Linked DNA regions of Drosophila melanogaster. The protein of the gene in region 2 interacts with the protein of the main gene of each other region in a pairwise test. Each region holds a gene or a part of one and is shown on either strand. Other genes may lie near its edges.

What was found.
Region 1: the proteins of Ubc10 (region 2) and ari-1 interact in a two-hybrid assay, tested with the Drosophila melanogaster proteins (one study listed by BioGRID).

What each region holds. Positions count from the first base shown.
Region 1 is NC_004354.4:18,125,240-18,143,854, forward strand, and holds ari-1 (ariadne 1), read right to left. Parts: upstream 12,447-18,615; 5' UTR 12,337-12,446; exon of another isoform or gene 12,126-12,336; intron 11,901-12,125; exon of another isoform or gene 11,812-11,900; 5' UTR 11,422-11,811; coding exon 11,203-11,421; intron 10,101-11,202; coding exon 9,948-10,100; intron 9,887-9,947; coding exon 9,830-9,886; intron 9,122-9,829; coding exon 8,472-9,121; intron 8,133-8,471; coding exon 8,009-8,132; intron 7,948-8,008; coding exon 7,721-7,947; intron 7,639-7,720; coding exon 7,557-7,638; 3' UTR 5,153-7,556; downstream 1-5,152. Other genes in the region: CG43133 (uncharacterized protein), read right to left, coding at 4,465-4,838, 4,892-4,898; CG43229 (uncharacterized protein), read left to right, coding at 13,392-13,640. UniProt on the Drosophila melanogaster protein: Atypical E3 ubiquitin-protein ligase, which catalyzes ubiquitination of target proteins together with ubiquitin-conjugating enzyme E2 Ubc10.
Region 2 is NT_033778.4:17,781,989-17,795,947, forward strand, and holds Ubc10 (ubiquitin conjugating enzyme 10), read right to left. Parts: upstream 7,423-13,959; 5' UTR 7,115-7,422; coding exon 6,650-7,114; 3' UTR 6,426-6,649; downstream 1-6,425. Other genes in the region: aft (adrift), read left to right, coding at 4,215-4,256, 4,312-4,752, 4,806-6,425; CG5033 (uncharacterized protein), read left to right, coding at 7,759-7,860, 7,931-9,245, 9,309-9,796, 9,857-10,152, 10,216-10,369; Dhit (double hit), read left to right, coding at 13,139-13,440, 13,608-13,616.

The DNA.
Region 1 (18,615 bases), on a different chromosome or scaffold from region 2:
CTCTTCGTTGCTCTTGTTGTTGGAGCTGCAAGGGAGGGGGAGGCGGGGGTGCGCCTCCCCATCCGTGGCTCGGATGTTGCTGGGCGCAACAGCAACATGTGACGAGCCTGCAGAGGCCATTTACCCGCCGCCGCTGACGTCATAGTCGCCACCGAGCAGATGCTGTGATGTGCAGACCCAGTAACCCAGTGCCGAATCCAAGACGAAGTCCCTCCGAAGATGAAACGAGGCGGCTGCGAGTTGAGCGGAGGCGATGGGGAAGTGCCTGGAGAAAGTGAAAGCGAGAAGTGAAAAAGGCAGGCCACACAGCGAGAAAAAAGAATACAATTAAAATAGAATCTTTAGTTTTCAAATAATAGTTTTCCATGGATAAGATTCGCAATGAAACGATTCTCACGCACTAAGCTGTCTAAAAGTATGCTTTAATAATACATAATTACTCGCAATCAAATAGTACATATCTGAATAATATCTGAAATTAATTAACTATTTCAAATTAACTATTTCACAGCAAGTCGTTTGCAGACCAGTTAACTGTAAGTAAACTCAACCCTTTTGATTTCTCAATTTGCCATTTTTATTATACCCCATTGAATTGGTGCACCATTTCTCTCAGTGCCGCAACAGCGAAAGGGGCGTCTGCAACGTTACGGTGGCGGGGCGAAGTGTCCTAGATTTTCGGGGGCTGCTATTTTTAGACGCACTCCCCCCACAACGTTCCATTTGCATTTTCCCTTCGCAAGGATTTTTCCGCCATTTCTTTTCGCTCTCGATTATCTTGAAGCACTGTGACGTAGCAGCGAAGGTCGCGAATTTTCCTCCCCTTGCCACACTTACCCGCCCCTCTCCCATCGCCTATACCCCTCTCTTTCTGCAAAGGACACGTGTGACGCGCTAACAGAAATTTTTATAAAAGTACATGTATATGTGGGCCATTTAATTACAACGTTATTTCATGAATATTGATTGAAATCAACTTTGACAGCCAGCCAAAATAAAAGACGTTTGGCTAAATGGATTGCATATGTAATTGGTTGGGTCAAGTGATTAGAGCTCCCATTATCCCTTGCATTACACTTTAAACTTATAGACAGCGGCCTTAAAACAAAAAAAAATATAATTGCATACATATTTCAATTCCCTCCAGGTGGAACTGCCTTGAAAAGCAAGGCAATTTACTATCAAAAATTTATGTCTAATTGATTAAAAGTTTCGCAAAATTGTGATTAGGCAGCGTAGAGAATGAACTTGCTTTCAGCACCTGTTCCATTTGGTTAGAAATATGTAAATCTTTAACTTTACTCTAGATTTCTAATAATTTTTATTTGGATTTACTGATGTACTTGTTCCTTAACAATTATCTCTCACTCTTTCTCATAAAATATCACATGTTCTTAAGTTACATATACATTTCATTTTGGAACATACATACTATTTTCAAATCACAAAATGAAAATAGATTTCAGAGTTTCAATTTTTGTCTGATTTTAAGATAAGCCATAATAGTGTCATGTTTTGAAATACTTTTCCTCTTATTATAACCTTCATTTCTATCTATAAGATTCTCTAAATTACAACTATTTTAAAATCTACTTACAGCACATTCAAATTAAACGGATATTGTGGTCCTGGAAAACCAAAATTCGTTGATCCTTTCCTGAAATATCAATCATTATTTTCAAATTAGAAAACCATCGGCAAACGGACAATTGTGAATGGCTGTCGGAAATTATGGTTTCCCAAGACGGCGAGCGAATCGACTGATCGGCCGGCCTCCTTGCCGCAGACAATCTGTCACTTGATACGCGCTAAGCCACCATTACCACCATTACCTTTACCGTTACCTTGTTGAGATTCCCCACTAAACACAGGCACACTTTTGTACGGGCGCTGACCAGCGAAGCATTCCAAGCCCAAAACCCCAGTCGAAACCCGGAGATGCCATACAAGTGCCACCACTCAGCCGCCGGGAAAAATGTTATTTAATTTTTGTGACGCCCCCAGGTGGCCAGCCCACCACCACCACTGATTGTGGCAGTTGCAAGTTGCAGTGGCAATTGCAGTTGCTGTTGCAGTTGCATATCTCCATTCGGATCATATTTCGCACAGCGGCGCTTTGGCTTCTGGTCAAGAACCCCGAGTATACATCCACACACATACATATGTATCGTGGCACATAGAGTAAAGGAAACCTGCCTCAATGTCTGGCTTTCGATTTTTTGGGATTCATTCCTCTTCTGTTTGTTGTCGTTTCGCTTTAGCACCAAACCCCCCACACCCACAGCGGGGGCAGCGCTGAAAAGTAGGCAGCCTTTTGCGAGTGGGACACACACTAATGCGCCCCTAATAATACCACACACACATGTAAGTCTTCGGCCAACACACGTACAGGCAAGGTACTTAAACAAGCTAAAGCAAGAGGGATGTTCTGACCACCTGCGACTATAAAAGGTGAACGCCGCACCGAACAATGTCTCAGTTAAATAGCGTTAATTAAGCGACAACCAGCGGCCAGCCAAAGGATCCTGCTCGTCAGCGAAACTATCTACAATATATATTTTTTTAAAGTGCTATTCCCGCAGGATAATAGTATCACTCCATAAACACAATTGCGTTTTTTTTTTTTTATATTTTGTTTTGCCGTGATTTAGTGACGAGGATATCAAATCGCACACCAAAAATGGAAAGTGCATTTTCCAATTGAAAATCGATAGCCCATCGAGAGACCCATAAAATTTATATACAATATATATACACACATTGCTATATATTATTCAAAAACGCGGCAGGAGTGGCCGCGTTTTAGCCTGGAATTTCGACCATATGTCGTGGGCACATCATCATCACATATTCAGCAATCGGTTCGGCAATGTCCGTTGAACTGTACGGGTAATATCCCGTCCATCGCCGCCAATGATGATTAGTGTGCCAGGCGACCGACCAGCAATGGTAGTGATTCACCGACCACGTCCGGAACCGAAAGGTGCTTATTGCAGCTGCTGGCCACTGCACAAGATTAGACTTAAGACTCTTGTGCGTGTGACAGCGGCTATTGTAAGAGGCCATAGAAGCAACAGCCAGCCATTGTTCCATCATCGTGGTGCCCAGATTGCCGCAGAGAAGCCGTAGAGATTGCCGCCTAATGCAATTATTACCAACGTTTGATGGAATCAAATAATATCGAAGGATTTGTTCAGCATTTCAAACGCAAAGTGGCCAAAATTATCCTTCAACTTCAAGCGAATCTAAAATCTGTAAAGTAAAAGGACTTAAGGCATGGTCTGGATATACGGTAATTTATTAACTTGAATTTAAAATGTATAAAAAATAAAACTTTAGGTCTGCTAATGGGCTTATAATAAAGACTAAAAACATAAGGATGGCATACAAAATATACCAAAAATTACATGCATAACAAATTTGAACATTTTTCTATCAATCACGTGACCGAAGAGTTCAGTTCTCAAGAAAGTGAAATTTAATCTATTCTTAGTAATTAATACGGAGACATTTATGTGAAATTGCTTATCAGTATTAAGATTAATTATGTCCTAGTTTCTGTGACTTACATTTCGCAATGAAATTCATAAAGTTTCCAATATTATAAAGCAAAAGGTAAATAGATCATAATCCCGAAACAGCTGGAAATCTGAAACTTTTATCTAGATCGACATTGTTTTTTTTTAAGCAGAAAAACAAAGAAATCTAAAAGCCATATAATAACTACATTAGAAACATTTTCGTGCGGAACAAAAGTTGCTAGCAATCGCGCCTCTGCTGTACATGTGGATTGGATTATTTGTGAGCGAGAAGGAAGTTACACCTGAGGATCTAGGCAGTCATTTCTTTTTTTATATTATATATCATCTATATTTTACAGGTGTACTGGTGAAGAAGGATCATGGATATGACATTGTGAACAGAAAATCAACTGTGTAACTGTGCGTTCTGTAACAATAAATAATTGTAAACACCTACGTAATAAATTTTCACATATATTCAGCTGCTTGGTGTTAGAATGGTTTTTTTTACCACTGATCTGAACTACATGAGACCCATTTCCATAACACTGTGCGTGAGTTAAAAATAAACCTATCTAGAAGTACATATGTACATATGTATGTATGTACATCGCCGATTTTGTTGTTTTTGTTTTGTTTGTCGATTTTGTTCAAGTGTATATATATGGGGTTTTGTATTTGTATGTTATTATAACTGCCGCTAGGTGGAGCTCGTGTGAAGTCTTGGTAACAACCGCATTAGCTGAGTAACGGGTATCTAATAGTCGACACTCTCCACGTAGCAGATTATTTAGCGACGAGTGAAGTTTCAAATAAAATCAAATAATATATATGTATGTATATCTACTATTACAAAGGAGGTGAAACAGAATTATTATTCAATAGTTTTACATTTTATACGCATTCAATTTCACTTAATTTATGATATAGATAAGGGTGTACCTTAATCGCGTTCAATGAAATTCTCAATGGGCTCGCATATTTCTGGGATTCTGGCCCCTGGCTGAACCTTAGATGAATCGGGATTCCATGTGCAGTAGATACCAGCTCCGCAGACGCATCGGTGGCCAAAGATACAGGTGGAATTGCAGCTAGCACAATGACCGGGGCACCTATCGGAGCATTCGTCACTAGATCTGAAACTTAAGGATGTGGGAGTTCGCTCGGGGGTGCATGGAGTGAGGGCGATGACTGCCTTTATTCCGGTGACTACTGGGCCATAACCAGGAGGATACTTATTCGCCCACAAAATACTTGCTATCTGGGGCAATCCAAACGCACATGCGCAAATGACCAAAAAGGTTACACAACCGATAACTGCGAATAAATAAATAAATATTCGTACTATGTTTTGACCAAAAATGTCTCACTCTTCATTGCTACATGTATTGTAGTGCTGCTGTGCCGACTTCAACTGATCTCGAAAAGAAGATTGTGAACCATTCTTATACGTTTGTTTTTTCGCCCCAGAAAAAGTAAAAAAAAAAAAACAAATATGTATAAAAGTGTATGAATTCCTGGAAAGTGACCCGCGCGATATGGCCCAGTGAAAAGTATTGCACGAAAGTATTGGGTATACTATAAATATGTACATATGTGTATATACTGCTGCTACAGTAATCAAAACAGTTGTATAGATTTTTTTAAATTTTTATTTTCACTAATTTTTGCAACATTTCTTCTTAATTATACATACATAGTTTCTCATAATTTTTACAGCTTTTTTTTATATATCTTTTTGTATTCCACATTATGGTAATTTTTTCCTTTTCTTTCAATTCGAACAACTTTTAACTTTTTACATCAATTTAATGTCAATGAGTTTTCCATTTGGATTCAGTTTGTTTATAAATATAATTGTTTCTTCATTTATTGGTATTTAGAATATAAAGAGAATGCTTAAAACGGAAACAAGATTAAGGGCCGACGCCTTCGTAGCGGGGGCGTGGCATGTCCAGTTATGTTGCCGCACGTTATGTACATACATACGTGCGTCATTTTGTGTGTGTGTGTGTGTGTGTGTGTTTGTGGGCGGGCTAGGAAACCATGGACAAAACTGTACTCTTATATACAACGATTCGAGGAGGAGGACTCTGCAAGGGTCCAAGGACACCGCCTCCCTCCCCATCAACTATACATTCCTCGTCTACTCGTATATAACTCAGTGTGTGTGTTTCCGGCATCGGCATGTTCTTCGATTTGTGCTGGGAGCACTGATCTCCATTAAGGATTTGCAACATTCGAGAGGCCATTACATATGAACTAAGAATGGGGGCGTAGCTCTGCTCCCGCCACGAAAACAAGGCTTATCCGATCGAATTGCAAACATTTTCATTCCGTATATGCTAGGCACAATTGTTTATTGAACAGAAAACCAACGGAAAAAAAAGAAGAAATCATTTTCCTTTTTTGTTTTTTTTTTTTTGTAAATAAAGGCTTAACAAACTGGAAGAAATTCGAAATCGAAAATCATACTGGGTCTGAGATTGAAACTAAAGAACAATAACGCTAACCTCAAGCCTAAACGGGTTAAAAAAAAGGGACGTAGAAGGTCGAAGCAAAGACACTAGAATAACAAGATGCGCAACGGCCTTACATTGGTTTGGCACTAGCAATATGATGAAAAAATATCAAATTGGAATACAAAAAAAAAAAAAAAACAAAAACTGAAAAACAACTGAATCTAATGTGCATTTTAAATAATTGAAATGGTACATTTACATACATCATATTAAGTCAAATGACTTAATAAATATACTCAATACAAAGCAAATTATATTAACTACCGTAATTTAAAACATAAATTTTACAAAAATTTAATTTTTCACACGCCGCAAGCTGAATACTCTAATGACAAATATTCTAATAAAGTAATTTTTGAAATTTATTTTGTGATAATATGTACATAGATTTGGCTATTTCTAATCTATTTTCAAATAATAATAACGTTAAGGCAATGCAAAACAAGAATTTTTAGCATGGTGCCAATTGATCAAAAATAATAAAGATTTAAAGTCTAAGAAGGGGGTCAAATTTACAATGCATAAGCATACGTGTGCACACATACAATTGTCTGCTATCACTGTATACGTAGAAAAGAGCTATTTGCTGTAGCGCTCTCCACTCTCTCGCTCTCTCTCAAAAATTCGAGAGAGCCTGGAGCCACCTTCTAGATCCATTGCCAAAAAAATGTGTGCTAAAAAATCGCGTTGCGTTACGCATCTTGTTATTCTATTGTCTTTGGTCGAAGGAAGTTGGGCAGGTGGAAAGGAAGCTGGGCGAGTGTTTCTGCTTACATGTGTAGTTTGTTTATTTCACATAAGTTTAGGTTCTATTGTTGGCTTCTCATCATGCGTGTAGCTTTGAATTCACTAATTTTTGCATTTTGTTTCGTTTTTCATTAGGTTTTTATAACATGAAGATTTCTTTGCAATCGGTTAACATCAAATAAGTTTTTAACTGTTGATTATTTACTATATATCTATTCTGCTTCTGAGCCTTGTGACTGGTTCTGTGTGTGTGTGTGTGTGTGTGTGGGAGTGTGTGAGTATGTGTTTGGTAGTGTCTATTTGATCCTGTCCTTCTTCGTGTCCTGCTGCTGCTCTTGCTTAGTACGAAGAAAAATATATATAATTCAATATATATATTTATATATATTACGATTTTATGGTGATTTCCTTCTGGCTTCTGTGTTCTGAAATGGCTTCAATTTTGCTTTGCAACTCTTGTATGGGGATTTATCCTGCGTTTCTGGGAATTTCGAGTCTCCTTTCTCTTGCGTTTCTGTGTAGCTTCTGCATTATCCTTAACTTCTGTTCAACTCCTTCGGCTTCGATTTCTGCGTGAGTGCGTGCGTGCGTGAGTGTGTGTGTGTGTGTGTGTGTGTGTGTTGCGTGGCTTGGCGGATGTTGGTCGGTATGTGGATGGGGACAGTGTTTGCTGCATTTCGGATGCTGGATGGGGTGGCGCTTAGCGGGCACTACATTCCGATTGCCTGCCGCTCGGCTTAGCTTAGTTATCCAGCCATGACTCGCGTCATTCTGTGTACTCCCACCACTCCTTGTCGTACCCCTCGTGCACGTGCTTCAGCAGAACAGAGCACCGCTTTTCACAATACCTAATCGAATGGAGAGACCAATCAATGTTTGGATAATGAGTCGTTTGTATGTTGGGGACACGGACATGGCTCGCTCGCTCACCTGTATTTATCTTGCACTTTCTGCTTAATATCAGCCAAATTCTCGGATGTAATATCACGTTCCAAATACTCCGACAACATCTCGGTTGCCGACTCCAAGTCCTTTTGATTATCCTCGAATATCATGGATTGATTGTTCTTTTTCAAGTAATATGCAAACACGTACGTGTACATGAGAGTCTGACGGCACTGGCAAAGTATGTCGACAGCCTTTTTCAGAAACTGCACCTGCAATTGCAATGAGTGTGCTGAATTCGCATTGTTATGGTCACGAGTTTTCACCACTTACCTCAATCCATGACATGTTGTGCTGTTGCATCTCCTCCATCTTTTGCTTCACAGATGCATACAATTTGTTCTCAAACTTCATCGACTGCATGTGGTTCATGTAGCGATTGTAGTAGTGGAGATATCTGTAGATTTGGCAGAAGATAATATATCAGTTGAGTTTTATTCCATAATGACTTTCACATTTCTGCCTAGATACTTTCGTGTTTCCTTGATTAGTTTTAGCATTTCTAATTCTACAGGTTTAATCAGCGATAAAATTTAATTACGAATTATAGCTGATTCATTCCTTTCTACGGCTTTCAATCGTTATCTTTTCTTAAAAGAAATTAGCAGATAAAATAAACCGCTAACCGTCATTATCAGCGAACTGCGAAAATAATACACAACAAGTATCACTTAAAAAAAAAAAAAAACAAAAGGGGTTCCTATCCTGTGACATCGTTCACAGTCGAATGACCCACCTGGCCAGCGAGGAGCGCAGCTTCTCCTGAGCATCGCGGGCCGTCTTGGCCTCGTCCTCGTCATAGCGATTGCAGTTGTACCAGGAGGAGCCGTGCGGCTCCCAAGAACCGAGGCACACCCAGCAGAACTCGTTTTTGCAGTTCTGGTTCTTGCACACCATGTGGTTGCAGCCGCCGTCCTTCTCGATGGTCACGCTGCACCTGGGACACTCTTTGGTATTGGCCGCGATCCAGTTGGACGTCTCCGAGTCGTCGTCACACTTCTTGATCCACTTCTTTAGCCAACGGCACTTGACCGGATCGTGCCAGTTCTCGCCGCAGGCAAAGCAGAAGACATGGCCGCATTTGCAATGGACGCGACGTGGCTCCGCGTACGGCACCTTCACCGCATAGGTGCAGTCGACGGACGGACACCAGCGCAGCAGCTGGTTGCACTCCACAAAGCTATTGGTGATCAGCTGCTGGTACTTGACCCGCACCCGTGCGTCCGTCACTAGGTTGGCGACGGTCACGTCGTCCACCAGGATATCACAGCCGTGCGCCGCGCACGAAATGGTCTGGCCCAGACCCTCCGCCACGATCTTCGTTGACAGATACTCGTGCCAACAGGGCATGCAGAATCGGTGTCCGCATTCCAGCCCGGCCATGGACTAAATGGAACGAAGAGAAAGTAGCTATTAGTATACATTGTAGATATTCTTGAAGTTGTTGCTTGTGGAGCAAAAGAGTATACAATATTATAAATATATTATAATCGTATTCTATAATATATACTTAAAGATCACGCGAACTATGAGAGCTTAATGATGAAGCATACAGCAAATTAAAACCACCTACATAGCGTATGGTAATTTTAAACTTTTCATAGGTGTTTTACGCTCTGAGTATTTGTTAGTTAGCTTGTCTATAATATATTTAAGTTTACTTTGCTGTTATAACCCAAAGTTGCCCATTGCAATCTACTCTTTTAAAACGTGATACTAAATTTTACTTTTTAAACTACATTATTAAATGTTTGATTCCACAAGACAGTTGGATTCCAGCGAATTACTGCTGAACTGCTTACATAACCAAATTCAGGCTAACAATCAACAATTGTAAATCAAGCAAGTAAATTAGTGATAACGTAAGCCAATAAAAATAATTGATAAAATACAAATCAAGTCTTTTTAGAATATTTTAGATTTGTATAGCAAAGCAACGCCCTAACATTATTATCAGGTCATCAGATAAGGCACCATTGACCAGTTAAAAAATCATGTTTCCCCCCAAAATATTCGTGGTTAATCAGCGGGAAAATATATTCTACACCGCAATTAGGTCACGGAGTTACTCATCCCTTCTCCATGACAACTTACATCTGGCGGGAGCTGTGAAAAGCATATTTCGCACTCTTCGCACTGACTGCGTGAGGTCTGAAAATGAAGGGAAACGCATTAGATGAGACATCAAATGGAGCCTTAGCACTGGGCTCACCTTTTGTTTGATCGCTTCGGTGGCGTTGAAAGGATTTATGACATGTGCGCATTTGAAGAACTCATCAGTGTTGTCGTCGAAGTACTTCTCCAATAGCTTCTCCTTGTCCCACTTGAAGTGATTTAGCAGTATCCGTGTGGTGGGTGTGGGTAGCTGTGGCCATAGACAACAAAACAAATCGAATGTCAGTGGATGATGGCACATATGTACATATATGGGGTAAAAGAGCGGGGGCTGCATCCCAGTTGGCATCGAAATCAATGCCAAATCATTTGCGATCAGCAGCAGTATGATCAGCAGTACCTATGTATAATCGTGGATGGGGTTGTGATGTGGAACCACTATAACTACCACTGGCAATTGGTCTATCTAAACAGTATAATTTTTAGGATATATAACATTTCTTGGCATTCCTAATAACTAATCGATTTGTTTGGAAATCGAGAAAAAGTACGTATGTATGTACAATTCAATTTTAGAGGGAAGAGTTACTCAAAGGTGCTTTGTTTAACTAACAATTAGATAGCTACATACATGATCTGTATCAATACTGAAAGTTAACACTCAAGCTAAGTGAATTTCGCTTATTATTGCAATGAAAGATTTTCTGATGTTTAAATGTCAATGAAACAAAAAAGTATTACATGGATTCTACATTGATCCTAATGTATTCATTTGAAATGGAATCTATAATACCATTTTAAGGGAATCCCCCGAAATCTGGGAAAGTGAAAACTGTGCTAGTGAACTTCGGGCAAGTCAGCTGCTGATGCGGATATGGGATGCGGATCTGGCGACCTTGGGTGCGCCTGGGTGCTTGTGTTCCGATTTCACTGGCACTGGCAGTCATCAGCGGACGACCTTCAGCTTATCCCAGATCCCAGGCAGGGCGGTGGGCGGCAAGAGCGAGGGGTGGGGAAAGCGATTCACGGATACACATGCCCAAATGCACTGTGCTGCACACAGTGATGCCTCCGAGCGGCGAACAGATCAGATATTCTTGGCAGCTATACGCCACTAAACTATGTCAAGCCATTTGGCTTTCACTGCAAATCGCAGCGCTAACGAAAGTCGAAACAAACATGTTCCTGCTAGGAAGGCCTGACTGTAGAGCAATCAAAGGTGACTGCTTGCCTATCTTTGTTGTCTGGACTGGGTGAAGAATGTACCTCTATGGCTGCCCTAGGACTGATAGTTAAGTTGCGGATGGATAGTTATACTAGCGGGTGTTCACTGTACTTGCGCTTGGCCATACCTTCAGCAGCAGATTGGCTTCGTCGATGATCTCGCGCTGGTGTTGCACAATCTCATCGGTGGTGAGCACCTTGTACTGGTAGTCATCTTGGTCCATCTGGCGGTCCGCGGAGCTTGGCAGGTCCACCTCCATGCCAAAGTCATCATCGCCGTCGTCGCCCGAGGAGACGTTGCCCGAATCGACATTATCGCAGAAATCATTGTCATTGTCCGAGTCCATTTTTCGGTTTCTGTTTTGCGTTACTGCTTCTGCTTCAGCTGCTGGTGCTCCTTCTGCTCTCTTCCTCTTCCTGTTCCTCTTGCGCCTCCCGCACCACTTCCGTTCCTCTTTGTTTTCAGCTTTCGAGGCTTTGTTTTCCAGCGTTTACTTCCAGTATTTTACTTTTGCATTTGCATTTGCGTTTGTTTCTGTCTTTTCGTTTTCCTTTGCCTCGTTTTCCACTTGCTTTTGTTTACGTTTTTGCGCAGCCCTTTTCGCCAGTTGTTATTATTGCTGCCCTCGCAGTGGCGTGGCCAGTTGTGTTTGGTCGCTGCACTTGGTGCACAGCTTCTATTCCCTTTTTCACACTAACTTATTTTGTGCGCTGCTAATTTGTAGGCTGCGTGCTGGCTATTTTTATTTGTAAATGAAAAATGAATATGTGAGATTTTCTAATGACAATACGAGACCCTGCACGGTCGCAGCGCAGTCATACTGGTTCGGTATTTTTAAGAAGAACGGTCACACTGGCCCGTGCGCTTAACAGGGCCGAACTGCTGATTTAACAGCGAACAACACTATGTTAAATGTGTGCATGTGTGTGTAAAATCATGTAAAATCGACCGAACGTCGATGGGACAAACAAAAAAAAACAACGAAATTATGTACACAAATGCATTTTTCTTTAGGGCAGATTATTTTGTTTTCAAGGTAATGGCACACACCAGCACACTGCGCACACACATGCGCACATTACGTGTGTATTGCCACACACACGTACACAAAGGCACAGTCGAAAAGCTTATGACTTTTTGTTGTTTTTCTATGCACTTTTCCAAAGAAAAAACACTAGCTTATTGCACTAATCGTGCTCGCCTTCGTCGCGAAGTTCGGTTGCAATGCACAAATTAAATGGAATTTTCACGAAAAACTAACCGTAAAGCCAACAAAATGATTTGCATCGGTGTTGGTTCTCACTTGCTCTCTTTGCTTTTCTCAAAAAATAACACACACACACACGCGCTCGCACAGTGGAGTCAAGTGTGCGTGAAAGTGTGTGCGCATGTTTGCGCTTTTTTCCCATTTACTTTCGTTCCGATTGCCGCCTGTTTCATACCGTTCCGTTAAATCGTATGTTTAACAACATCTGCTTATCGATGGGTGCCAAAAAAGCAATAGTGACTTATCGACGGCTGGGAAACAGTAGATTCAAAAACAAGTGAGCTTCCAATGAACGTTTTCTTGATTCTCAGTGTATTCATCAAAAGAGATTATCTTAAAAATGAGACATGCGCTTAATTTACAGAAACAGTTTTTGAGAAAATCCCTTTACAGAACAAGACTTGAAGGGATCCATTCAAAGGCACGAACCACAGTGTCAAATTCCAATCCGAGACATAAACCTGTTTGAAATAAATATTGTTATTTAAACATTATTAATTATTCTTGGAATTAAAGGGTATACTAGATTCGTTGAAAAGCGCTTCCGACTTCATAAAGTACACATATTCTTGATCAGGATAACTAGGCGTCTTGATCTATTATTGAGATCTTTTATTCGACTGTCAAGATATTATACTCAAACGTTTTCTCATGTTTTTAACTGCAACCTCCGGTTGTTTGCGGTTAGAGTTTAATCTTTAAAGTGGCGAACAATATAAAATTGCTAAAACTTCGCACGAGCTAAAAATATATTTGAATAAAATTATTTTAAACTTTACTGTCCCAATTTTCATTGTTTCACAAGTACCGTTAATCAAATTCAATGGTAAATTGCCACTCTGTTGTAACATCGATGTATCGATGCCATATCGATACCTTATCGATACTGTATCGGTTGATACAGAGTTGCACTGGCAATGGGCGCCTTATTCGATTTCACTTAAAGTTTTTTATTGTATATTGTGTTTTTATTGCAACACCTGACAACTGTTGTTGTGTATAAGGTATGTATATAAAGAGCCAGCTGGCTTAATCAGAATGCGGTCATAATGCAAATTCGTTGGATGGCAGTTCGATTTCTTCTTCTTCTAATGGTGGCAGCCATACGGGCCGACCTGGGCGGATCCGGAAGTTGTGGGCCCTACGAGTGCCGTCTGAGCAACCCGATCTGCCGATGCGAGTCCTTCTGCCAGGAGTTCAGTCAGCGGTGCTGGAAAAACCCATCGGGATGCCATTGTGCGAGAGGATATGCCCGTAACGAACGAGGACACTGTGTGCCTCTTATTTTGTGCCCCTGATATAGGATTCACCATCAAAACAAATATCTAAACGAATATCACCTTAAAATTCATATGTAAACTAAAAACCGATTGCATGGAAATAATCAGCATGCAAAATAAATACAGCAGACACATTTTTAATGAGAAAAAAATGGTTATAAAATTGATTGGGCGTTTGCCTCATTACACAGAAGTAAATATTTTAATGTTTTCAATAATTTTCTATTGGTTTAATATTAGGCATTTGTAGAAATTATAAAACCAATAAATAAAAACTACAAAATTACATGACGGCAGTTACTAAATAGCATTTTTAACATGAACCAAAATGTATACCATTTTTGCATATAATGAAAATGACAATTTGATTGTAATTCAATCAATTGAGTTAAATTTACCGAATGCACTGAGCGCATGAATGGCTGCATTGTTTTTTTTTTTCGCCACAAAAAAGCAGCTGAAAAATGCACCGCTCCATTGGGAGTATTTAAGTCATTTTCATTTATGAATAGTAATACCAGGCAGTTGCCACTAAAACCCGGCCATCGCATATAATTGTGATTAAATTACTTTGTATGTATATTTATACATTAATACATATGCATACATATGTATGTATCCATGTTGGCCATTACCTATGCAAGCATATATATATATACATACATTGTTCCAATTTGCATTTCAGGAATTAATTACAATTTGCATTAGGCACGCCATAATTGCTGGCAAGTTTTATTACACGAAACGCCAGTCTGTGCTGCCCGATTCAATTATAGTAGAATCCTTCTGGGAATTTATTAAATTGTCAGTTTTTTGTATAAAACCAAAGGTTTAAATATGATTAAAAGCCACCAAAAGGCTTTTTGCGCTTGATTTTTAAATGTATTAAAAAAATATAGAAGTAGCGATAAAGCGCTTATTTCATTACATCCCTTTTGAAATAATTAAATTACGAAGTTAGTTCTTTAACGAAAAAGGGCAATCAACCGCCATGTAGTGATTTTTTCGCTCGAACTTGCTTTCTTTATCTTCGCTGATGCTGCGGCTGCGTTTTATAGTTGTCTGCTGTGCTCGTAAAGCATGCTCGCGAGCAAAAGCACAAACAACGTGTAAAAAACGAAACTGTTTCCAAAAAGCGGCAGGAATCGTTGCTGTTGTTTGCCAACGACAAAGGTCGCGCATCTGTTTATGCCGATTACACGTGGATCAATGTGGGTGAATTGTACGAGTATTCGCATGAACAGAGAGATACCCTGGACAGACGAACTTGCTTCAAAAAAGTTGAAAAAATTCCATTTTTTCAAGTATCTAAAAAATAAACTGCTCAAGTATTTAAGGACACATATGGATAGCAGATATACCACATTAATCTTAACTCTTGTCGTATTTGTTCTGCCAAAGGTACCAAGTAACCCTAAGTCGCAACGATCGGCTTGAGGCTCACTTCTTGTTTTCAATTTGCAAATGCCAGCAAAACGAGGAGAGAAGACAAAGACAATAAATTATGAGCGGGAGATAAAACAAAAAGCGCAAATTGAACTGGGCGTAAATTAAAAACAGGACAACAAAAAAGTGGCAACAAAAGCGGAGCGAAGCAAAGGCGAAGAATGATGACCACAAGACCGCGGCCACCTGACGCAATTGTCGCTGTTTGCGTGGGTGTGCGTGTCCTGCTTTTGTGTGTGTGTGTTTGCGGGTATCCTGTGGGTGTGTGTGTGTGTGTGTGGGCGATGCGGCTTTGTAAACTTGCGCCTCTCGGACGCAAAACAAGCGTGGAACAGGATAATGGCGAAGCGTGGCAAGAAGACGGAAATGGAGACCGAGCCTGCGTGCTGAAATCAAAGATAACGACTCATCAACGGCGTCATAAAAACGTGACATCAATTTTATTGCCGCCGGGCGTACGGAGCGTATACGTCATCGTTCACGCGTCGCCACAAAAACAAAAAACAAAAAAAAAGGTCAAGCTAAAGGCAAAAAGCACATGACAAATAGGAGATCGTCTGGAAAAGTGCGATTTTCACTCGCTTTTCATTGGCGGAAAAGTCGCAAGTGAATCTGGAATAATGTCTTCTCAAGCATTTGTTTACAACAAACATCTAACTTAACAAAATATTTATATAATTAATAGCAGATTGCCAGTTTTTACTTATGCCTAAACCAAATAGACTAAATGCCTTCCATTTCTTTTACAATTTTAAAGATAAAGCAATCAGCAAAGAAAATAGCTTAATGTAAATATGTACAAAAGTTCAACATAAATGTACATACATACATATGTACATATGTACATATTTATGGCTTTGGGGAATTATTTGCTAGTGTAAGCTATTAAAGTGAACTGTTTGTATGATATTTCTTTCTTTTTGTTTGCTCACAGCACAGCAATAAATTCCCATGACTTTCGTTTGCTCTATAATTTCTCCTTCCATTCGCTGTTTTTTTTTGTATTTCTGCGGTCATTGGCAGGCTGGAAACTGTACACTCGAAGAAAAACTTCGCACATGGTTTCCCCATACTTGCGGATAAATATAAAGAAAATCAGCATGACAGTGGTTGGATTTTAACTGTAATACGGTAAACTGCAAAACTTAAATAAAAGCCAAAATGGTTTTTAGAATATGCTACCTACAGAGATATTTATATTTATATTTATTTATTTGTTTGTACTTCATTGTACTTTTTTCTTTCGGTGTAGAATTCGTCATCTGTTTGTTGCTGCTGTTGTTGTTGTTGTTGACCTACCGTACCGGCAGCGACAAATATTTTCACAATAAAATTCCTATTGATGTTTATTCATGCCCATTCTGCCCCAATCTTATTTTGCAGCGATTTTTTGGGGGGGTGTGGGGGGTTGGGGTTCTTCGGCAGTCGTGGAGGCGCCACCAACACGACAAAGTTGTCGCTGGCGAATCTGGAATTATTATTGAATGAACTTGCACCATATCCGCCGTCCATTTCGCCATAATCAATTATTGAAGCGCCGCCAATAAAGCAGCCAAGATGAGGTGGGGATATCCAAAAACTTCGGACTCGCCGCTGCCCATTTGTTCGATTAATTATTGACGGCTCCCCAGGCGCGTATTAAAATTCATTTGATGTCTTTCTTGTCGCCTGGCTGACACAGCACCACCCCCCTACTCCTCCCTCATCTGTTTTATCGGGCATTTGGATCAAGCTCGTCGAATTAACAAATCAAATATGCACCTTAAATAGCGAGCCTACAAATTGTTGTTAAAGCCAAAAAAAAAAAAGATGAACAATTGCTTGAAAATAGTGAATAAATTCCTTGGTTTTGTTTTGGTTTTTGCGCGGAATACAGGTTGTTAATTTTAATGCGGACTGCGAATCCTCTTCGAATCAGGCAAACATCGTCATCGAAATCGTGCGTGTGCTCCTGTTATCGGAGTTCATCCCACATTCCCGCCGGCGCCCACGCAGTTGATTAATCGTCGGTCGAATCACGTACAGCGACAAATGTCGCAGGTGAAAATGCCAAAGTGCCCGCGGAATGGGAATGCGAAGTGGAATGGAGTGGGTTTGGATTTGGATTTGGATTTGGATGTGGATGTGGATGTGGATGTGGATGTGGATGTGGATGGGGATGTGGGTGTTCGGGAGTCCTACGCAACGATAAGCCCCGCTTCGGACCCACTCCCAACTGCGAGCTGGCATCTTGGCCATTTTCCCGCCGAGCATGGACAACCTTATCGATTTTGGTTATCGTCTATCGAAGTACTAAAACGGGTTTAAACTTTCCCAAAAATGTTAATTAGCATGGTATACAAGTTTGATGATGGTTTTGTTTTGGTATGAGGTAAATATTTTTCAGTTATACGGATTTAATTTCTATCGTTTTTGGTTTTCGTCGATCGGACTTTTGAAAAATTCAGATCGGAAAGCTTAACTTTTTCAAAGTTTTTGGTGATTTTCTTGTACAATTACGAAGGTAAGAATGGCTATATTTTGTATGAGCTTTATGAATTTACAATTTAGATATTCGGCTTGAATTGTATTACAATATTGATTTGCAATATCGAGTGTATATAATGATAATAATAGTAAGAGTATGCGTTTATTAATTTGTTAATGCAACTCTTTACAACTCTTCAGAAAGAGTTTATGTTGAACTTAGAAATGATATGCGACCAATTCGATGGATACCATGAAGTAAGCTTGGAATATGAAAATGATATTTTCGTGGATCCCAATGCTCCATTGAGGGTCCTGTCAGCACTCGTTGGCTTTGATGCCATGTCGCCTCACCATGTCTCACCCTCCCGTGAGTCCTTCGCATTAACATAAATAAATCACTTGCCGCCATCAATCAGTCTGTTTGCATTTGCGCAGGCAGCCGCAAAACACCTCGTCCCCAAAAGCTCCCAACCCAAACAGCCATTTCTCTTTGTTGTCGACGCCGCTTTTTGCTTTATGCTTACGCGCATTTTTCTTTGATTTATTGATGTCTCGACTATTAAGCAATTAACTTGAGGCTGTCGTCTTGCTCTAACCTCTGACCTCCGCCGCCACCGGCACCACTGAGTCTTACCCACGCACTGTCGTTGGGAAACTGTTGACCCGTCGACTTCATCCTGCTGCTTTTTTCGCTACGGCACACAAAAGGTATGGTATGGAACCCAAATTGAAACGAAAAGACGCCTAAAGTCACTTAGGTCCTCAATAAAAAAAAACATGCGACGAGTTTAAATCTGACTCAATCAATGCCGAAATGCCATTTTGTATGGCATACTTTTAGACACCTTTCGAAATTATTTCACTTGGCATGTTTCATAAGAACAGACAGATAAAACAATGTATTCGATATTAAAGCACATCAAATGTATTAACGATTTCAGCACATTATTTTTGAATATAAAATGATTCGGTACCCCTGAATTTTACCTTTTCGTCCTGAAATCAATTGATTTCTCCGATTTGCCTTGCGGTCGAAAGGGATTTGTGGAACGCCCACCGATTTTATTAATTCCTGTGC
Region 2 (13,959 bases):
ACTTTTTGAATTTGTTTGCTGTTTTATGCAAATAAATTGCTTAAACGACAACAAAATATGAAAACAACAAATATGTACTAACAGATACTTTATTTTTGGCAATTAGCTTAATGGTGAGATAATTGTATTTTCTGTGGTATGCTACTTATATAAGCAGCAATAATGAGTGCCTATGTTTATTTAAATTCAATTGTCCGTGGAATCGGGAAGACATATAAAAATGGTTCCATTTTTCCAAATTGTTATATTCCAAAATTTTTAGAAGAGTTTTCCCTCCTTTATTCCAGATCATGTCTGAAAAACAAGATTGCGTACGCCTCTACTTCGCAGCACATAATATTTATTCTTTTTATATCTCATAAATATTATATGGAGATAACTATTTCAAATTTAGAATCACATCTGCAAAAAACTAAAATGATTACTACAGTATAATTCGCTTAGCTGCATCGATAGTTAGCTGCATCGGCAAGATATCTGCATTATTTTTCCATTTTTTTGTGTGAATAGAAAATTTGTACGAAAATTCATACGTTTGCTGCATCGCAGATAACAGCCTTTTTAACTTAAGTGCATCATATCAGCTGTTTTTTTTTGCCAATTTCAATGAATATCATCAAAGTTAGCTGCGCCATCTATGAATCATTTTTGCATATCTAAAAGATGGCAAGAATGCCAACTCGTTTCAGTATCTGCGCATGTCCGTTTTTGTTTTTGCTTTGATCGTGATTTTTGTGTTTTTGTTTCTTATGACACAAAGTTATTAAAATGGGTAAAACAAAGCGTGTCGTTGGACTAACACTAAAGGAAAAGCTTCAAATAATCGAGTTAGTGACCAACAAAGTGGACAAAAAGGAAATTTGTGCCAAATTCAAATGCGACAGATCCACAGTCAACCGCATTTTACAAAAAACAAATGAAATTCATGAAGCTGTGGCCGCGTCAGGTTTAAAAAGAAAGCGTCAAAGAAAAGGAGACACCATTGCTGAAAAAGACAAACAATGCGTAGAAGTTGACATTGTATCGAATATTAATTGGAATGAATATGCCAATGTTGATGCAGATGAGGCTTGCCATGGTCAATTAGATGATGATGAAATCGTGCGCTCTTTAGTTCAAGATGCAAAAACCAGCGATAACGAAGAAAGCCATAGTGATGAAGATGTGGACGATACTGAGCGTCCTACTTTTAAGGATGGGTTTGCAGCAATTAAGGCTTTAAAGTCCATTTTTATGCGAAACAATAATGATGAGTTTTTGCAAAACTTGAATTCTATGGAAGACAAGCTGTTTAATTTACATATAAACTCAGCTGTATTGCAAAAAAAAATTACTGACTATTTTTAAGTTAGTTTTAAAAAGTGTTTTAATCAATTCACCATCACTTAAATTTATATGTCGATCTTACTTATCATTAAGAATGAAATTATCAGTTCCTTTTATGTTTAACATTGTTATAAAGAAATAAATTCTTTATTTTTCCTTAAAAAAAAAAAATTAAGTTAGCTGCATTTTTAAGTTACCTGCATCGAGGCATTGTGCAAAGTACTCGAGGCAGCTAAGCGAATTATACTGTATTAAAAGATATTTATTAAATAAAAATACTTCGTAAATTTACTGCTTTTGCTTATAACATTCGAAAAACGGTTTTTTAAAATGCAAAAACTGTTCCACATTTTGCGAATATTCCAATCGATAAATGTTTTAATATCCCTTCAGATATTTTATGATTATATATCTGCAAAAAAAAGAGATTACGATGGAGCTTAAAACTCCACTACTGTTCTGTTCGATCTCGCTGACTGTTCCATTGAACAACTGACTAGATGCAGCATAGCGCTCTTCAAAATCGCTTTTCAACGTCAGCTATGCCGACATCTTGCCAATTTACCAACGGAGTTGATATACGATCGATCCGACATGGACGAAACCCCAACCGTTTTGGTTCACAATTCACCGAAACATTCTCACTGGTCACAAATGCTCGTCTATTACTCGCTTGTTATCCAATGGCTTTTATCAATGAAAGGCTTGTTGTTTTGAAAAGCACTTAACAAGTTTTGTGTGCCTACATCGTACATATGTGTATACAGAATAATTCGCTTAGCTGCCTCGAGTACTTTGCACAATGCCTCGATGCAGGTAACTTAAAAATGCAGCTAACTTAATTTTTTTTTTTCTATTTTCTATTTTCTATTCACACAAAAAAATGGAAAAATAATGCAGATATCTTGCCGATGCAGCTAACTATCGATGCAGCTAAGCGAATTATACTGTATATGCTGCTGTTGGAATAGATGACGGGCTTGGAGCGCTGGACTCCCAGACGATGGCAAGTGTAATCCGTCAGCGGTGGAGACTAATTGGCAACTGATTCCGAAGCCGAGCGGCGAGCTCAGCACCACACCTCGGCAATTGAAGAAGTTTCAATTAGTTGGCATTTGACACTCACACATGGAGAATGAACGGGGATTGCGGTCCGTTGCCAGCTCACGCACACCGTCGCAGTGTGGGGGTGATACCTGTACCAGTACAGGCTTACCTGTGCATGGCGACAGGTAGCCAGCCCAGCCAATGGGGGAATAAAAAAGGGTGGAGGGCCGGAGACGTAGATACATGGAGCTGTGCCCGGCCAGGCTAAGCCGCTTTTTAGCGCAACGCCGTCTGCCCGGAATATTAATGAACTCCCTTTTGAGAAAAATATGAAATGAAATAAAATTTTGTGGCCAACAATAGCCGTGTCCACGTACCAGTCGTTGTCGTTTCGGAATTGGAATTTGTCGGTTCGCCATCGGGGGGCCCCAAAAATGCATTGGCCATGGCCACCATTCAACGCCAAACACGGCGCATGCGCAGCGATTGCTACTTCCGCTCGAAGCTATTGAAGATGTCCAAGGAGTACGAAGATACATACATAGATCTTGCCGGGACGATTAAGCCGAAGTAACTACAGAACTTTGTTGCTCCGTCGCTGTGAACCATTATCTATAGGCATTACATTACAGATATTTATGCGCGATTATACAAAACAGTCACGTGCCGGACTCTTCTATATACAAACTGGGCACAAATATACCGGCCTGGGTACTTACACCTATATGTACGTACACATATGCTACGACTGCTATTTGTATATGAGAGGGAGCTATGTGCATATATATATATATATATATATATATGTATATAAAGGCGGAGAACGTTACTCAAGACCGATGTCGAGTTCCAAGGGAAGAGTGATGCCCCTGCGGTAGCCAATGCGATCCTTTTTCTTTTGTCAGCATTGGAAACTCATAATTTGAATATCGTTATTATTATTCATAAAAACACGACTCACGTTTCAAATGGCCATAAAGTCGGCAAGGCATGCGCGTATTAAGTAAACCCATTGGCCACGATGGTCGATGCTGAAATTCCGAGACCCCAAGACATAACCACATTCCGATTGGGAGTGTAAGTTTATATGTATGTATATGTAACTTTCCGACAATTTCTCCAACTTCCGTACTTGGGCTATCCGCATCAATAAAATAAGATTTTAATGAAATATTAGTATGCACAATCGAATCACTAACGGATGATGACCAATAGTTTCGTAACCGCACACTTTGCAGGCACCTTATTTGTCGCCTGCCGTGCGCTTTCTAAATGGATAGTTCCATAGAATCAAAGAAATCAGTTTCCACGTTTCCACCATCGGGCATCTACGGGAAATGCCTTTGACGATCATCGCCGTCGAAGGTGGAAAGGAAGTTACATTTCTACAGGAGATAGCGATTTTGTTCTTTTGATAAAGGGAATTAGTCGAAAAATACCTAGAATTAAGAAACATTTTTAAAAGAAATATGCGGCAAAAAAAAAAAACAATTGCATTTAACATATTGGCTGAAGTTATTTTTCAACCTTTAACTTTTAAACAAGATGGAATTCTTGATGGCTTTTGTTCTTATTCCATTCATCTTCAGATACAAGCTATGGAAACGTCTAGCCAAATCTTCTGCATCTACGAATTAGCTATAATATTGCATTAGAGATATAAAATAATTATTCATTGCAGCCCGGAAAATCAATTTAAATTTGATAGCTTAATCGATAACGTTTGCGATTTTTAGTTACCGTCGCTAAGATTTAGGCGATGGATCGCTTTGAGCTTTTTCCATCTCTATTGTGTCGCAGATCGCTTTGTTTTTGACGCCTCGCATTTAAATTTAGCCGGAATGAGCTTTCGTTCGTCTCCGCAGGGAAAGCCACACCCAATGGTGAGTAAAGGATGCTACATCCTACAAGTCAGTCATTACATTTCACACTTTACAGACGGACTATCAGTCCATCCGGCCTTCCGAAGTGGAGCAGCTCTTCGAGAAGAAGTTCCACTATCAGAAGCCGAAAGGAAACAAATCCTGGCAGTTGCCGCCACCGGATCAGGCTCTCTTCAGTGAGTTCTACCAGTTCGAGGCGCTGCAGGGACTGCGCGAGCAGCTGAATGCGGTTAAAAGCAAACTCAATGACTATGGCGTGCAGGAATGGAGTGCTCACACCAACAGGCGTGACCCTTCTGGCGAGGTGTCCTGGCGCCTGAAAAACGACACGAAGGCCGAATTTGTAACTGTGGCATGGTGCAAGTTGTTCGAGTGCCTGCATCGTTATCCATTGGTCACGAAGCCGGCTGTCAACAGTATGCATCTCTGCGAGGCACCCGGTGCCTTCATAGCATCTCTGAATCATTACCTTCATAGCAAATATGAAAAGGATGAGGTGAGTTATCAAGTCATCCTTGAGAGATACGAGAACGGAACTCTTTTTTCCAGATTAAATGGCGCTGGCGCTCAACTACTTTGAATCCGTACTATGAAGGCAATGCTATAAACCAGATGATCAGCGATGACAGGTTCATCGTCCACACGCTGGACAACTGGTTCTTTCACAAAGATCTAACTGGAAATCTACTAGATGTGGCCAACATTGACCACCTGGTGGAACGTTGTGAGGTGGAGTTCCAGGGACAGGTGGATCTTGTCACTGCCGATGGTTCCATCGATTGTGCCGCACAGCCTGATTGCCAGGAAGAGATAGTGGTTCGCCTTTTCTTTGCTGAAGTACTCAGTGCCTTAAGAATTCTCTCAAGTGGCGGTAACTTCCTAGTGAAGATGTTTACCCTCTTCGAGGCTTGCAGTGTATCTCTACTTTATACACTCAATTGCATCTTTGAGGAGGTACACATCTTTAAGCCGGCTACTTCCAAGCGGGGAAATTCGGAAGTGTATGTTATCTGCCTGAACTACAACAAGGACCATCCCGACTTGCCTCGTTTGCTAGAGGAGATAAAGAGCAAGCTTGCTCAGCCGAATGACACATTGGTAATGCCACTGTTTGCCAAGTTCCAGATTCCCCACGACTTTCTCATGCAGCACGAGATCGCCTGCCGTATGTACATGAAGCTTCAAACGGATGCCATCGAGGGCAGTATCTATGCCTACGAGTCCAATGATCGTCATTATCTGAGACATCTTCATCACCTGCGCAGTCTTGTCGCGAACACCTACTACAGTCTATACAAAGTGAAGCCATTAGAAGATAGCCTGTGCATCGTGGACAAGGAGGCCACCAGTAAGGCTCTGGGATTCCAAGTGCCTGTCTATGGCGGTTCCTACACAGAAAGGGAGTCCTTGAAACACGGTGACCTTCTCAAGCAGATTTACTGCTTGCGTCGGGAATTTAATCAACTGGAGAAGTGTCTTAACAATAGAACACCGTATTCATACGTTAAGAACAGAACGGCACCCTTGAATCTTCACATTTCACGAGGAGCACCTGTTCAGAGCCTGCAAAGCAGCATGTTTGCCTCGGAACCAATACTCATTCTGCGCCTTCGCATCCTGGACACATTTGAACTCGACCCTGTCTGGCAGTCTGCGCCAAAGTGCCAGTTGGAAAGCAAGACACTATGCTACCTGCCACCAACAGAAGACGAGGCATTCCACACCGCCCAGCAGCGCTTTTTCATTGATCTCCTGGAAGAAGTAAAGAAATTGAAGCCCGACAGCATTGTCTTCCACAAGTTCCTGTTTCTCACCCATTACGCGGCGTCGCTGCTCTTATTTCTCATAGAGAGCGTTTATCAGGATTGTTGTTTTAATAGCAATCAAGCGCAAACTCTCACGTTGAGTAAGCTAAAAGATACGGCTAACAGTGCCTTGGAACAGGTGCTGGAACTTCTTAAGGACGAGCAGGCGGGGGCCATTCACAGCCTGCTGGACATTAAGGAGCTGCAGAAGAACCAGTTCAGCAAGGCCCTCATTCAGCACAACAACAGCATTGTAATGACCTGCTTCCGTAGCATGTTGGGCGAGGAATCATTTCCCATGCCCGTAGCTCCGACATCCAACTCAGATGTCGGTTCCATCCAAGAGTCGGCAGCTGTATTTTAACATAACGAACATGTATTTCTCACTTGCATCAAATTACAGTGCTACTTTTACAAAACTAGGTACTCTGCCGGGGAAATATCTGCTTAAATGTTTTCTGAGGATAGTTTTTCATGGATCAAGAATGAAAATTAAATAACTAACAGAAAAATCACAAGACTAAGGGGTAAGGGTACACATGGGTTGTGGACTGGCCCACCTCCTCCAGCTCTACCTCCGCCTATCCGCTAGTCGGCCGGACGTTTTTCGCTGTGCTTCTTGGTGTAGTCCTCGGCGTTTTTCACGAATTTTTTGCGATCCTTAAGAAACTCCTCGGCCAACTCCGCCCGCAGCGGATGCTCCGGCTCAGGGTCGTTGATTAAGTCCACCAGTGCCTGCACGACCTGGTCGGTGCGTGTGGCCGGTTTCCAGTTCTCCGTACTGATAATGGGCAAGCACACCTGGCCCTTCTCATCGATGTTTGGATGGTAGATGCGTGTCTTAAAGTTAATCTTGGGCGGCTTGAAAGGATACTCCGCCGGAAAGTTGATCTCGATGCGGAAGGCGCCCTTGTTGTACGGCGGATTGTCCGGGACAATCAATCCCGTCCAGCGCAGCAGGTTGTCATCGTCCGCCTTAATGTCCCGGAAGGACTTCAGTGCGTTGCCCTGCAAATCGCTCAATTCTTTTCGCAGGCGTCGCGGCGCAGTCATCGTGATGTCTATGTGTGGGTTCTCTTATGCTGGTGTGTGCGTAGGTGTGTGTGGAACGGAAAGAGGAGGGGGCCACCTTGCCAATGTGTGCGTGTGCACTTTTGTTTGCCCTTGTGTGAGCTGCAAATCGATGGTTTTGTCTTCCGGATATGTAATACTCTCGTTCAGCCGCCGGTGTTTCGTTGTTGGTGAGCTCCTAGTGCTCCAGTTGCGGGGTGTCACCTTTGGTTTTCGCACTGGCCCAAAAAAATCCGCACGTAAGTCTGCGAATTTCGCTGAAAATGGTTCGTTGAAGAATCTTCCAATTAGCGTTAGGGTATTTTGCAGACTTGCTCGCAACGGCGCTGCAATTGGTATACATATACATTGGTCATGTATAACTTTGTCTTGATTTTGCAACTTGCAACGGCTGTAATATTATGTTTAATACTAAATAAATCTTTATTGGAAAGTATTTATTATAGATGTATATTTTAAGAGAGGTAACAAATGAAAATAAAAGGGTTGCTGTTTCCAAATGGATTTGTAACCGATTACCAGCAGCAGTGGCGGCAAGCCAATCGATAGGCAACCGTTTCAGGCGATTCCCATCGCTATCGCTGACTGCAACACGTGCGCCGCGTTAGTTTTGTTTTTACCTCAAAATGACCAAAAAACTAGCTCTGAAACGCAGAGGAAAGGATTCGGAACCCACAAATGAAGTGGTGGCCAGTTCCGAGGCTTCCGAAAACGAGGAGGAGGAGGAGGTAAGACCCATTGACAGTGATATAAAAAGTCATTTCAAAATGACCTGCATGTGTGTTTGTGCTCTTTAAGGACCTGCTGCAAGCTGTAAAAGATCCCGGCGAAGATTCAACAGATGACGAGGGCATAGACCAGGAATACCACTCGGATTCCAGTGAGGAACTGCAGTTCGAGAGCGATGAGGAGGGCAACTACTTGGGCAGAAAGCAATCTTCATCAGCTGAGGAAGATGAAGAAAGTAGTGATGAAGAGGATAATGAAGAGGAGGAAAGCACTGATGGAGAGGAAGTGGAAGATGAGGAGAAGGATTCCAAGTCAAAGCAAACAGACGATAAGCCCAGTGGAAGCGGTGCCGCGTCTAAAAAAGCCCTTACAGCAGAGCTCCCGAAACGGGATAGCTCGAAGCCTGAGTATCAGGATTCAGATACCTCCGACGAGGAGGACATAAGAAATACTGTAGGCAACATACCCATGCACTGGTACGACGAATACAAGCACATCGGTTACGACTGGGATGCCAAGAAGATTATTAAACCACCACAAGGAGATCAAATTGATGAGTTCCTGCGTAAGATCGAGGACCCAGACTTTTGGCGTACCGTCAAGGATCCACTTACCGGTCAGGATGTGCGCCTAACAGACGAGGACATTGCTCTGATCAAGCGCATCGTTTCGGGTCGCATACCCAACAAGGATCACGAAGAGTATGAGCCCTGGATCGAATGGTTCACATCGGAGGTGGAAAAGATGCCCATCAAGAACGTACCCGACCACAAACGCTCTTTCCTGCCCTCAGTTTCCGAGAAAAAGCGCGTCTCTCGCATGGTGCACGCCCTCAAAATGGGCTGGATGAAGACCACTGAGGAAGTGGAACGCGAGAAGCAGGCCAAGCGCGGTCCCAAGTTCTACATGCTGTGGGAAACGGACACCAGTCGGGAACACATGCGCCGCATCCACGATCCAGTCTCTGCGCCCAAACGCGACCTTCCCGGTCATGCCGAGTCCTACAATCCACCGCCAGAGTATCTTTTCGATGCCAAGGAGACCAAGGAGTGGCTTAAACTAAAGGACGAGCCACACAAGCGCAAGCTGCACTTCATGCCACAGAAGTTCAAGTCGCTGAGGGAGGTGCCCGCATACTCGAGATACCTTCGGGAGCGTTTCCTTCGTTGCCTGGATCTTTACCTGTGTCCCCGTGCAAAGCGTGTCAAGCTGAACATCGATGCCGAGTACCTTATCCCCAAGTTGCCCTCGCCGCGTGACCTGCAACCCTTTCCCACGGTGGAGAGTATGGTTTACCGTGGCCACACCGATCTGGTGCGGTCTGTTAGTGTGGAGCCCAAGGGAGAGTACCTCGTCTCCGGTTCGGATGATAAAACCGTCAAGAGTAAGTACTAATTTAATTGACAACCTTTTAGATATCTTCTTACTAATCCATCTCACCTCACAGTTTGGGAAATTGCAACAGGTCGTTGCATTCGCACAATCGAGACCGACGAAGTGGTACGCTGTGTGGCTTGGTGTCCAAATCCCAAGCTGTCTATTATTGCGGTGGCCACTGGCAATCGCTTGCTGCTCGTCAATCCTAAAGTGGGCGATAAGGTGCTGGTGAAGAAGACCGACGATCTCTTGGCTGAGGCGCCCAGTCAGGATGTCATTGAAAGTGAACGCATCAAGACGGCGGTGCAATGGTCAAATGCGGAAGCTGATGAGCAGGAGAAGGGCGTCCGCGTAGTGATTACCCACTTCAAACCCATCCGACAGGTGACCTGGCACGGTCGTGGTGACTACTTGGCCACAGTGATGCCCGAAGGTGCTAACCGCTCGGCTTTAATTCATCAGTTGTCCAAGCGGCGCTCACAGATTCCATTCTCCAAGAGCAAGGGTCTCATCCAATTCGTGCTCTTCCATCCGGTGAAGCCCTGCTTCTTTGTGGCGGTAAGTGGGTTAATTTTCTTTTGTTAGTATGTCTTATTGAATTCTGTTTTTTCTTTACAGACGCAACACAACATTCGCATTTATGATCTGGTCAAACAAGAGCTTGTCAAGAAGCTGCTGACCAACTCCAAATGGATATCGGGCATGTCTATTCATCCCAAGGGCGACAATCTGCTGGTGTCCACCTATGACAAAAAGATGCTCTGGTTCGATTTGGATCTGTCCACAAAGCCCTACCAGACCATGCGACTCCATCGCAATGCAGTTCGCAGTGTTGCTTTCCATCTTCGATATCCGCTCTTTGCTTCCGGCAGCGATGACCAGGCTGTGATCGTCTCCCATGGCATGGTCTATAAGTAAGTGGCTATAAATCAACATTGCCCAAGGTTAATTACGAATTTCTCCAAACTTTTTTTTAGTGACCTGCTGCAAAACCCTTTGATTGTGCCTCTCAAGAAGCTGCAAACACACGAGAAACGCGATGAGTTTGGTGTGCTGGATGTTAACTGGCATCCGGTGCAGCCATGGGTCTTCTCCACGGGCGCGGACAGTACCATCCGACTATACACGTAATTTAGGTGTACAAACCCCAAGAAAGTTTCTTTTAGTTTCCGAAAGTTTTGTGAAATTTCAATAGTAAATAAAAAATATATTAATTTTTATGAAAAGTAAAGTATTTCATATAACCATTTCATTCGAACATTTTAAAAACAACGGTTTTCGAAATCAACGGGATCCCAAAATCAAAATGTAAGTGCAACCCTGCCGAAAGTTTATAAGTTCTGGCCCCAAAGCTTTGCGGTAAATTCCAGTGGGGCGAAGAGTCCCGAGCTTTATTCTCTTTTTCCGACTCGCGCACATGTCTTACCGTCCGTTCTCTCGCGCTCTCCGCCTGTCAGTCCCTCTCCTGTGTGTACCAGGAATTCTAACTGTATAGCAATTCCACAAAGCTTTTCGCTCAGTCCACCTATGGAGCCCTCCCCCGGCTGCCCACTTTCCACTCGCCGTTATCTTGCGTTCCTCGGGAGGAGCGCGCGCATTGGAAAATCAAAATCAAGAGCTGGCGACACGGCACTGCTTGGAAATCAGTCGCCTGCCTTTGCCCGAGCGGAGAGAATCTCGAAACGCTCGAATCGACCCGTCGAGGATTTTGGCTTCAGCTTCTGGGTGCTGCTGGTGCTGAGCAGCCAAAATCGCAGAGCGCAGAAATCGAATGGGAATTGGCTGCCATTGCGGGGGCACCGAGCACGAAGGAATATAATAAAATATGGCCGAGGGCGAAATGTGAAAATGTGAAAATGCCAGTCCAGGCAGTCCAGTGACCACGAAAATTGCAGTTTCCCCCAATTCGTATTCATACACACACACACATTCTCAACAGTCAACGAAAAAAATCGTAAAGAAATTCACAAAAAAAAAATCGAAGCACAAGCAAAACAATTTCGGGGCGAAAAAGAAAAATATATACAAATATACACATTTCGATTCCGATTCTAGTGGCAAAAATTCGTATGTACTCGTCGCTGCTCCTCAAAAACATACATACATACAAACGCGACCCCCTTTTCCCGCCCACCCATTCGCCCAAAAATCCTCAAAGAAAATATAAACGTGTGTGTGGTGTTTGAGTGAAAATCTGAACGGAAGCGCTGGTTCAACAACAAGAAAATAAAACAAAATATACATATAATATACATAGATAGCCAGGCTAAAGGCAATGGTCAACAAAAGAACCCAAGCAGCTGATTTGTGATAAGTGCAACGACCAAAAATCGCTGGCGTTTCGAGTTACAAACAAGTGCAATTAGCTGCTGATGCCTACATGTTGCAGCTGTTGCAGCAACATCAGCACAAGTGGAGAAAATCACGCATACGCCCCATCCGCCCAACGGGCCAAACAATGCGCTCCACTTAGCCAAGTTGCGTGTCAATGTGGTGGTACTCCAGCCCACCCCCTCCTCACGCACACACGCACAGACGCACGCACACAACGGCGCCTACATATATATGTACATATACAATGGCAGTGTAATGACTAGCACAAGAAATAAATAAAGGCCAGAACAACAACTACGGTGGCAGCTCCAGCTGCTCATAAATTTCGTAACGCTTGTGAAATGTGCCCCTTGGTGCACGGGGCCATTGAATCGCTAGATTTTCGCCCGTAAATCCGGAGCGGAATATGTAAATGCCACCCGCGCACCGTCAACTCTCTAAAGAAACGCTAGACCCCCTAGAAAAAAAAACGGAAACCAAACCCACGCGAAGGTTTGAAGTCAGGAACCTACGATAAGGATAACTACTACTCGAAAAGGTTATCGAAAAAATCTTGAAGAATTTCTGGAATTTTTCGGCTTGTAAAATCGCCCAAGGAAAAGCTAAGGAGAAGGAAAAAAAACATAAAACAAAACGAAAACTAAAATCAAGAGCAGCAGCTGTGGGCAGAGCGAGAAAGAGAGGACAGAGCGCCACAGGGAGAGAGAGAGAGAGAGAGAGAGTGTGTGGGAACTTTCGATAAAAAATTATTAGCAAAAACATAAATACGTAACGGTCTCCCTGCATACCCCACATCCCCAAGGAAGCCGAGAAAGAGAAGCCGAAGCAAAGAAAAGAGCACCAAAGCGAGCGGGTGAGTGGGTAGGTCAGTGGCAGTGGGCGGTCCGCCAGCTGGGGCAGCACCACCTCACCACCCAACACCCATCACCATCTCCACCTCCACCATCTCCGTCAGCTCCGCCAGCGTCAACCTCAACTTTCAAAGGGCAGGTAAGTGCACACGGAAAACGAGGCGAATCGGGAGCAGTTGGACCTACTCCTCCAGATTACACTTTCCCGAATATGTATTTATTATATTTTGATAGTTTTGGTAAATTAAATATACAAACAATCAATGTTTTAATAATTCAACAGTTTTCTTTACTATTTAATCTTTAATTTCATATAAAGTTTCTTTGTGATAAATGCAAAGAACAAATATTACAATTTTATTTAAAAGGTGTTTTGACTAGATTCAAATAACATATTTATGAATATAATGTTTATAATATAAATATAATATTTATAATAATATTTATAATATAATGAATCAGTTTCAGTATCTTTTGAATGACATCTTGTCAAATTAATGGGATCCAAACCAAAAAGACAAACACTCACCAGCCAAGACAATTAAGTAGTTAAGTTCCGGGCACCTTGGTTAACAATTCTTTCTAGATGACTAATAGAGCTATTTTTTGCAGTGTGACTGTGATTCGCCCAACTGTCAGCACACTTTCCCCCCACTCCATCCCGTGCACAGTGTTCATTAACGTTTCAATTTGTTCCTTTATTGCAGGTAGCGGCATGTCCTGCACCGTTTCCGAGCTGCCCAGTGGCTGTCGATTGCGCGGCATGACTGCATCCTCACAGCAAAGTGCCGCCAACAATAGTGGCAACAATGGGAATGGCAATGGGAACGGTGGCGGCGGGGGCGTCGTCGGAGGTGGCGGCAGCCTGGGCGGAGTATCGCCCACCGTGGGCGGCAGCGTGGGAATCCTCGGCTCCACGTCCAACGTGCTGCAGGAGTCGAACGCGACCACGTTTCAGCGTCCGCAGTCGCAGAAGCCTTGCTGCTTCTGCTGGTGCTGCTGCTGCTCCTGCTCCTGGTGAGTATGGAGGCCACCACCGAGTGGCCTATTTGTGCACCGCTCGAATCCTCTGACACGAAATCAATTTCTTTCTCGTTACCGCGCTGCCTTGACTCAACCGTTCGGTCATTAAAACAACTACCTGTGCCAATACCCATCCACTGCCAACCACATCCTGACAACAGGGCCAAATGGTAAGCACCTCCTGAAACACTCATGCATTCATACACCGAGAGAATCGATTGGTATTATTGGACTGTAAAGTATAGAATATTAAATGCGCAATTATTTTAAATACGTAATTATTTTACCTAGTTAGCTTTATTTTCAAGATATACTATAACAGATGAACCAATCTTTGGTTACATTAACATCGTTATTGTTAATTAATTTATTTATTTTTACTTATTTCAATATCAATTTTTTGCAAATTTTTTATTTTTTTATTTTATAAATCATTTCATTTTAAAGGTTGTCTGTTTGAGCCCTTTTTTTAAGAGAGTCGAAATATTATTAGTCCATGTTTCTCGCAGTGCT